Linked DNA regions of Tribolium castaneum. The main gene of each other region encodes a partner of the protein of the gene in region 2 in a complex. Links are inferred from orthologs where the notes say so. Each region holds a gene or a part of one and is shown on either strand. Other genes may lie near its edges.

Region 1 (3,037 bases), on a different chromosome or scaffold from region 2:
AAAAGAAAGTTAAGTTGATTTTGTTGGCATCCATGATTATTTACAATGTTTTAACCTCAAAAATAATCTGAATTTGTTGACGTTTAAACACGTGTGAAAAATGACAAAAATTAATACTAAAGCAAGTAGGGTACAAAAAACTAGTGAATCTACAAAAAAGAAGTAAGTTTGAAAATATTTTGGTTTGCACTTTACTACATGTAGTCCTAAAGGTCAAAAGAGCCTGACGTAATTCGAGGCAAACCCAAGTCGGGGCGTTTTTGGAAGAACGAGAAAAAGAAATTTTCATCTATAATCAAAACTAGAGGAATCCGCAGTTCATTTGAAAAGAAACAAGTCTTGAGACAAGAACTTAAAAGGATAAAAGACGCAAGTCGCGCGATCAAAGCTGCAAAAGACGAAGAGAAAGAACAGAAGAAGCAACGCCGGCGAGAAAACCTGAAACGCCAAGAAGAAAACCGCAAAAAGTCCGAAATAGTCCAAGTCATAACAAACACGAGTAAGATTAAGAAAATGAAGAAGAAACAATTGAGGTATATTGAAAAACGAGACACTGTTAAAATGTGATTTAATTAAATGTCTACATGCGGAAAATTCCAAATTCGGTTTTTTCTGGTTGGGCGTTTAGCGCCGCTGCCAGGCTTAAACCTAGCACCTTCCTTGTGTCTTTGGGGTCAATTACTCCGTCGTCCCATAGCCTAGCGCTGCTAAAATACGGCGATCCTTCCCGTTCGAACTGCTCGATAATGGGGGCCTCAAAATCGTCCTTCTCCTTTTGCGTCCAGTTTTTGCCTTTACTTTGCACTTGAGATAGAACTCCAGCCGCTTGACGGCCCCCCATTACCGAGATGCGCGCGTTTGGCCACATGTACAAAAAGCGGGGCGAATAGGAGCGCCCACACATGCCTAAAAAATAAATTCAAATTGAAAAATTTTGCAATTTAATGTAGTCCACGAAGAATTAAATACTAGGAGGCACCAAGAGGACACATAAAATGTCCAGTCTTATTTCCGTTAGCGTCGCCAGATGTAGCAGTTGTTCCATCAAAATTTTAAGAGTAATGAAATAAAAAATGACTACTTAAAATGCGGTCAGCACAAAGCAAACAAAAAATTTCAGAGAGATTAGTATTGAATTCTTAAGGACATGTAAAAATTAACGAAAACGATACAGTTACTTAAAATTGTCAAGATGTTATTGGCCTTACTAATGTGTCTTTGATAAGACACATTCACACAGTTTTTATTTTGATAATGAATGAGATCGCAGAAATTTTTTTGTACTACGATTCTTAATTAACTGTTTATAGTTAAATAACTACATATCTTCACTAAGCCTTAAACACTGTTATGATTTATCACAATCTAAAATTTTGATTTAGTTTACCAAGTAATCGATTTTTTAAACGCAAACCAAGAGGCATAACTTTACCAACAAAATAAATTATTTACTAGTATTCTAAACTAGATAAAACTGTCAAAAAATTAAACTTATTTTATTCTCGTCTTTTATTATGTAAGTGTCTGAATTGTGTTTTAGTGTACAACGAATTTAATATTAACATGTTTTAATCTTAATCTTGAGTAAATCTACTTGTAGCTATAAATATTCTCTTGAACTTTTTGGGGTATTCTTTGCCTAATGGATTTTTTCGGAATAAATCATATTATTATTAGCCGACCTTTTTGAAGCCACTTATTTATAGCTCAACCATGAAATTCACAAATTTTCGGTAGTTCTATAAATCCAAAGATAATTTTTTCAAGCATTTCTGATTGAATTTCAAAAATTGAACAGTGAATTCTATTTTCAAAATAATTCGTGTAATTCTTAATTGTAATTCTCGGACCAAAAAGAATTCCAGTAATTTCATGAATTCCAAAGATAATATTATAAATTCCAAATACTTCTTTGGAATTATTAAATTAAAAAAAAAAACATGTAATTCCATGCAGTAGTTTCGAGTAAATTTAAAGAATTTGTACAACTAATTTCAGAGTTAAGGGACGGTCCCTTAAAATTTGATTTACTGATTAAAAGTTTCTTTTTTGTATTTTTACGTCGAGTAAGCAAGTGTGTAAAATTTCTAGAAATTTGTTTAACGAGAAATGAGCGCCCTATATTTTATCAATCAGTACAAATATGGATAAAGAGGTAAAATGTTTAATAGACAGAATTATAAAGAATTAAATTTCCTTCAAAAAAATCCACTAAAATCATATTTCTATCTTCAATCGTTTAGATTTAAATAATTGTTTTAAAATTTTCTCCCGGCAGTGACAACGAATCTGTTTCTTAAAAGGCTTGAACTTGAACGTCTCACGAATTTTTTCTAAGAAATTTAATTATCGAATTTAATTTTTTATTATTTTTTTGACTGAATTAAAAGAAAAGCACACAATTCGTCCTTGAAACTTTTATAAACTTGAATACGTTGGAAATAACACCATTTTCAACGTATTCAAGTTTGTACAATACATATCTTCGTTGTTGGTGCTTTTTCAAAAAAATGCTCGAACGGGTTGATTTAATTTTTTAATTGCTGACACGATAGTGACATTTATGATGTCATTTTTGTTTTTGAGTAATGACTTTTTTTTAATGACAACAGACATATTTGTCCACTGTTTTAATATTAGCTACATATCTTCCACACATCTTTCTTGTTAAAAAAAAGAATATGAAATTATAAACAAAAGAAGAAATAAAGTAAAATGTTTATTGACAATTACACACAAAAGGATTTTTTTGTTCTTGCCTTATTTTATTATACGTGGCAATTGTTTTTTTTTTATATATTTTTTCAATACTTAATTAGCATGAGTACTTAATAATATGAAACCTAAACACAAAAGACAACCATATTTTATAAAATAAAATAAAGCAAGAACCGAATGAGGAAGCTCTTTGTATAAAATTGTCAATACGTTTTTAAATTTATTGATTTTTTTCTTCTTTTTTGATTTTTTACTTACTTTTTTCAAATTTTTTGTATACTTACCAGAAAGATAAAAGAGGTTACTATCGGAAATAGTA
Region 2 (4,291 bases):
GAAGCTGGTCCACGGCGACGTCTTCCGCCCCCCGCGCAAGGGAATGTTCCTTTCGGTGCTCCTGGGCTCCGGCGTTCAAGTTTTCTTCATGACTTTGGTGACTTTAGCTTTCGCCTGTCTCGGGTTTTTGAGCCCGGCAAATCGGGGGGCTTTGATGACTTGCGCTATGGTGTTGTATGTCCTGTTGGGGTCGCCAGCTGGGTACGTTTCCGCGAGGATTTACAAGAGTTTCGGCGGCGAGAAATGGAAGTCTAACGTTTTGTTGACCTCGATGCTGGCACCTGGGATTGTCTTCGGGCTGTTTTTCGTAATGAATCTGGTGTTGTGGAGCAAAGGGAGCTCCGCAGCTGTGCCTTTCAGCACTTTGGTGGGGCTGCTGGCGCTGTGGCTGCTGGTGTCGGTGCCTCTGACGTTCGTGGGGGCGTTTTTCGGGTTCAGGAAAAGGGTAAGATTGTGACCGCTGTCAGGACAATTAAAAAAAATGTTTTCAGGCACTCGAGCATCCGGTTCGGACGAATCAAATCCCGAGGTTGATCCCCGAACAGTCGATCTACACGCAGCCGATTCCCGGAATTGTCATGGGGGGTGTGCTGCCCTTCGGTTGCATTTTCATCCAACTTTTCTTTATTCTGAATTCGATCTGGTCGTCTCAGATGTACTACATGTTCGGTTTTCTGTTTCTAGTATTTATAATTTTAGTAATAACGTGTGCAGAGACAACGATTCTTCTGTGTTACTTCCACTTGTGTGCGGAGGATTACCATTGGTGGTGGCGGTCGTATTTGACGTCCGGGTTTACAGCAGTTTATTTGTTTCTGTATTGCTGTCATTACTTCTTTACGAAATTGCAGATCGAGGATACGGCGTCTGCGTTCCTGTATTTTGGCTATACTCTAATTATGGTGTTTTTGTTCAATTTGTTAACTGGGTCGATTGGATTTTTCGCCTGTTTCTGGTTTATTAGGAAAATTTATAGTGTGGTTAAAGTTGACTGAAATGTACTTTAATTATTGTGATTTTTACCAACAGAATATTTTTAATAACGTATTTATTTTCGTTTCAATTTCAAAATTATTGAAGCGCACGAGTGGGCGAACATATTTTTAATAAACATGGATAACTCGCATCTAAAACTTGTGATGTATTAATTTTGTGTACGCAACTGTAAAATATTGTAATAGAAATAAATTGTATAATTTAGTATTTTATGGAAAAAGTCCTTTGACAATAAAGGATTGCACAATTGCACATTTTTATTTTCCCTTCCCTTCGTAATTAAAGACAAATATGATTTACATTTTTATCCACAAAAAGTTATTATTGTCAAGACTGAAGGTCAACAGAGGCCAAATCATTTCTTCATTGATATCAGCATCATTATGATAAAAATCGCATTTTAGTTAATAGTGTTAACAAAACTGTGCCATTAAAATCAAGATAAAAATGCCGTTGTGGGCCTCATTGTTACAAAAGTGAGTACTGTTCTATTTTAGTGATGACTTGGCAACTTTACAAAATTTTCTTCAATTAAAACACGTTCCATGTGCAATTACTACTCACTACTTATGTCATATGTGTTTTTGCCATGGATTTATGGAAAAACTAGACTTTTTTTACTATTTTAGCACAAATTTCGGCGTTCAAATAACAACAAGAAGATGGAACAGTACTTTGAGAAGGATAGATAAATTATTAATTGCAAATAGAGGTGAGATAGCTTGTCGTGTGTTGAGGACTGCCCGCCGGTTGGGCGTAAAAACGGTCGCGGTTTATAGCGACGCTGATAAGAATTCGTTACACGTTTCACAGGTAGGTTTTACCGATAAAAATAAAATATAAATAAAATTCAAAGAAAACACAACAATAAACACTAAAACAAAACTGACATTTTCATTATTTCCATCGTTCCTTTGTTAGTTTAGACTAATTTTTGATTTTTTTAAATGGTGATTATTGGTATTTAGCTTTTTTTTTATTCTAAAATAAGGAAGACTCACAGTTTAAACTATTGGTCGTAATTATGTAATCTCTAAACCTTATCGAGATTGTGAAAATTTTGATCGAATGATGTTTTTTCCACTTTTACGCTCTTTTAATTTGTACATTAGACTATTTTATTTAAACCGCACATTAAAAGAATTGTAAAAGTATTGTGAGTTTTTACAAGGATTTTAATCTTAATTTAATCATAAGCCATTATTTTTTCTAATTTCTGATTTTTTGACTTTTTTCTCGAATAAAAATTTGCGAAAATTTTTGAATTATCAGAAATATATAAAATAAAAAAATGTTTTACTAAATTAAACAAATAATAAAATTTTCCTGTGATTTCTCCATACTTTTTAAGGCTAGATTTTCTAAGAATTTTTGCTTCGAAAAATCTCGACCAGTAACCTTATACTCAGGTTGTAAAAATCTTTTGGTCTCTTAAAAAAGTCACGCAACTCACAATAAATAAATTTAAGTTTAGTGTAATTTTTTTGTAATATTTAAAAGAATAATGTGTTATGCGGAAGTAGATTTGTTTATTTATTTTATTTAGGTATGAGAAAAACGCCAACCAACCAACAAACTTCTCTTCATGTTTTATGTTAATATTTTACATTCTGTATTACTGTTATTATTTAATTTGTTGAAGTTGGTCATTGTAAATAAGCAAAATTCGTATAAAAATAAAGAATTTTCCACTTAATCTAATTGGCGATTTTCTCCGATTTTTCTCTATTATTCTGAGGAAGTTATTTTTCGGTAAAAATACGAAGAAATAGAAACAGTTATACATGTTGGAGCCAATTTTAGCCAATTTTTTGCGAAATTTCTCGAATTCAGTGTTTTTCATTACGAAATAATACGTTCGGATCTGAATGTGCGGTTTAGACGAATGCTCTGTTAAATAAATAATTCTACCAAATTATGGGTATTTAATAGGCAGATGAGGCCTATAACATCGGCCCTCCCCAAGCCTCGCAAAGTTACCTCCGAGGTGACAAAATTTTAGAAGTAGCGCACAAATCCGGCTGTCAGGCGATCCATCCAGGCTACGGCTTCCTTTCCGAAAATGTGGAATTTGCGGAAAATTGCGAAAAAAACAAAATCATTTTCATGGGCCCTCCGGCTTCGGCGATTCGCGACATGGGAATCAAAAGGTACACTCTCCACTTTCCATTCTCCCACAACTAACTTTTCAAAAGCAAATCGAAGGAAATTATGTCGAAAGCCGGGGTTCCCATAATCGGGGGTTACCACGGGGAAGACCAAGACAGGGCCAAGCTCAAAGCAGAAGCCCTGAAAATCGGATTTCCCGTCATGATAAAAGCCGTGAGAGGTGGTGGCGGCAAAGGAATGAGGATAGCTCTCACGGAGTCTGAATTTGAGGAAGCCTTGGAGTCGGCCAAAAGTGAGGCGCAGAAAGCTTTCGGCGATTCTGTGGTGCTTTTGGAGAAATTCGTGCAAGAGCCGAGGCACGTGGAAGTGCAGGTTTTTGCAGATATGCATGGCAATGCTGTTCACTTGTTCGAACGGGATTGTTCGGTGCAGAGGAGGCATCAGAAAATTATAGAGGAAGCGCCAGCGGTACTTCTTAAATTTTGTGTTATGATTGTAAATTGAAATTTTTAGCCGGGAATAAGCGAAGAATTGAGGGCTGAACTGGGGGCTGCTGCCGTAAGAGCTGCCAAAGCGGTTGGGTATGTGGGGGCCGGGACGGTGGAATTTATTCTAGACAGGAAAAGTCACAATTTTCATTTTATGGAAATGAATACGCGATTGCAGGTAGAACACCCGATAACGGAGATGATTACAGGTAACGCCGCTCGACAAAACATTGTTAAATAAAACGCAGTTTTACTTCCTAAAAACTTGCACAAGGTTTTGGATTTTCCATCGTAAACATTTTTAATTAGATGCTTCTTTAATAAGGTTTTATGGTAGTTTCAGTGAAAACTTTCAGTTCCCGCTTGCGGTCTCTCGTGTTAACCATTATGCAAATTTTTTACCAATAAATAATAGCGCAATGCTTGTCTCAAACAAATGGGAAATATTCGTTTAAATTCGGAATTATCCTTGGCTTCGTATTTGATTTAGGAACCGATTTGGTGGAATGGCAAATAAAAGTCGCTCGAGGTGAAAAGTTGCCATTAACTCAGGAGGAAATAACACTGAGTGGCCACGCGTTTGAGTCTCGAATTTACGCGGAGGACCCAAGTGGGGGCTTTTTGCCAGGGGCTGGTGTTTTGTCGTATTTGAGTAGTCCCCAAGTTCGGGATGACATGAGGATTGAAACTGGTAGATT

The links.
Region 1: the proteins of Mccc1 (region 2) and Mccc2 are in contact, whole or in part, in a cryo-EM structure (PDB 8JXM), measured with the Homo sapiens proteins. The link is inferred for Tribolium castaneum from reciprocal best matches to the Homo sapiens genes MCCC1 and MCCC2. Residues at the interface, in NP_064551.3 of Homo sapiens: Glu519, Phe526, His531, Asp532, Phe534, Ser535, Pro536, Phe537, Ser538, Ser539, Ser540, Ser541, Gly542, Arg543, Arg544, Leu545, Asn546, Ile547, Tyr549, Thr550, Arg551, Tyr568, Tyr636, Leu637, Ser641, Glu644; in NP_071415.1 of Homo sapiens: Leu56, His57, Val60, Glu61, Lys64, Asp88, Ile91, Pro93, Gly94, Ser95, Pro96, Phe97, Leu98, Glu99, Gln102, Ile123, Gly124, Arg125, Gly128, Glu130, Arg234, Trp276, Leu278, His281, His282, His285, Lys298, Lys299, Leu300, Ile304.

The regions. Positions count from the first base shown.
Region 1 is NC_087396.1:10,361,904-10,364,940, reverse strand, and holds the end of Mccc2 (probable methylcrotonoyl-CoA carboxylase beta chain, mitochondrial), read right to left. Parts: intron 907-3,037; coding exon 581-906; 3' UTR 568-580; downstream 1-567. Other genes in the region: coiled-coil domain-containing protein 86, read left to right, coding at 101-162, 213-567. UniProt on the Homo sapiens protein: Carboxyltransferase subunit of the 3-methylcrotonyl-CoA carboxylase, an enzyme that catalyzes the conversion of 3-methylcrotonyl-CoA to 3-methylglutaconyl-CoA, a critical step for leucine and isovaleric acid catabolism.
Region 2 is NC_087398.1:7,347,227-7,351,517, forward strand, and holds the start of Mccc1 (methylcrotonoyl-CoA carboxylase subunit alpha, mitochondrial), read left to right. Parts: upstream 1-1,313; 5' UTR 1,314-1,443; coding exon 1,444-1,472; intron 1,473-1,625; coding exon 1,626-1,809; intron 1,810-2,928; coding exon 2,929-3,146; intron 3,147-3,191; coding exon 3,192-3,573; intron 3,574-3,618; coding exon 3,619-3,802; intron 3,803-4,083; coding exon 4,084-4,284; intron 4,285-4,291. Other genes in the region: TM9SF2 (transmembrane 9 superfamily member 2), read left to right, coding at 1-445, 492-995.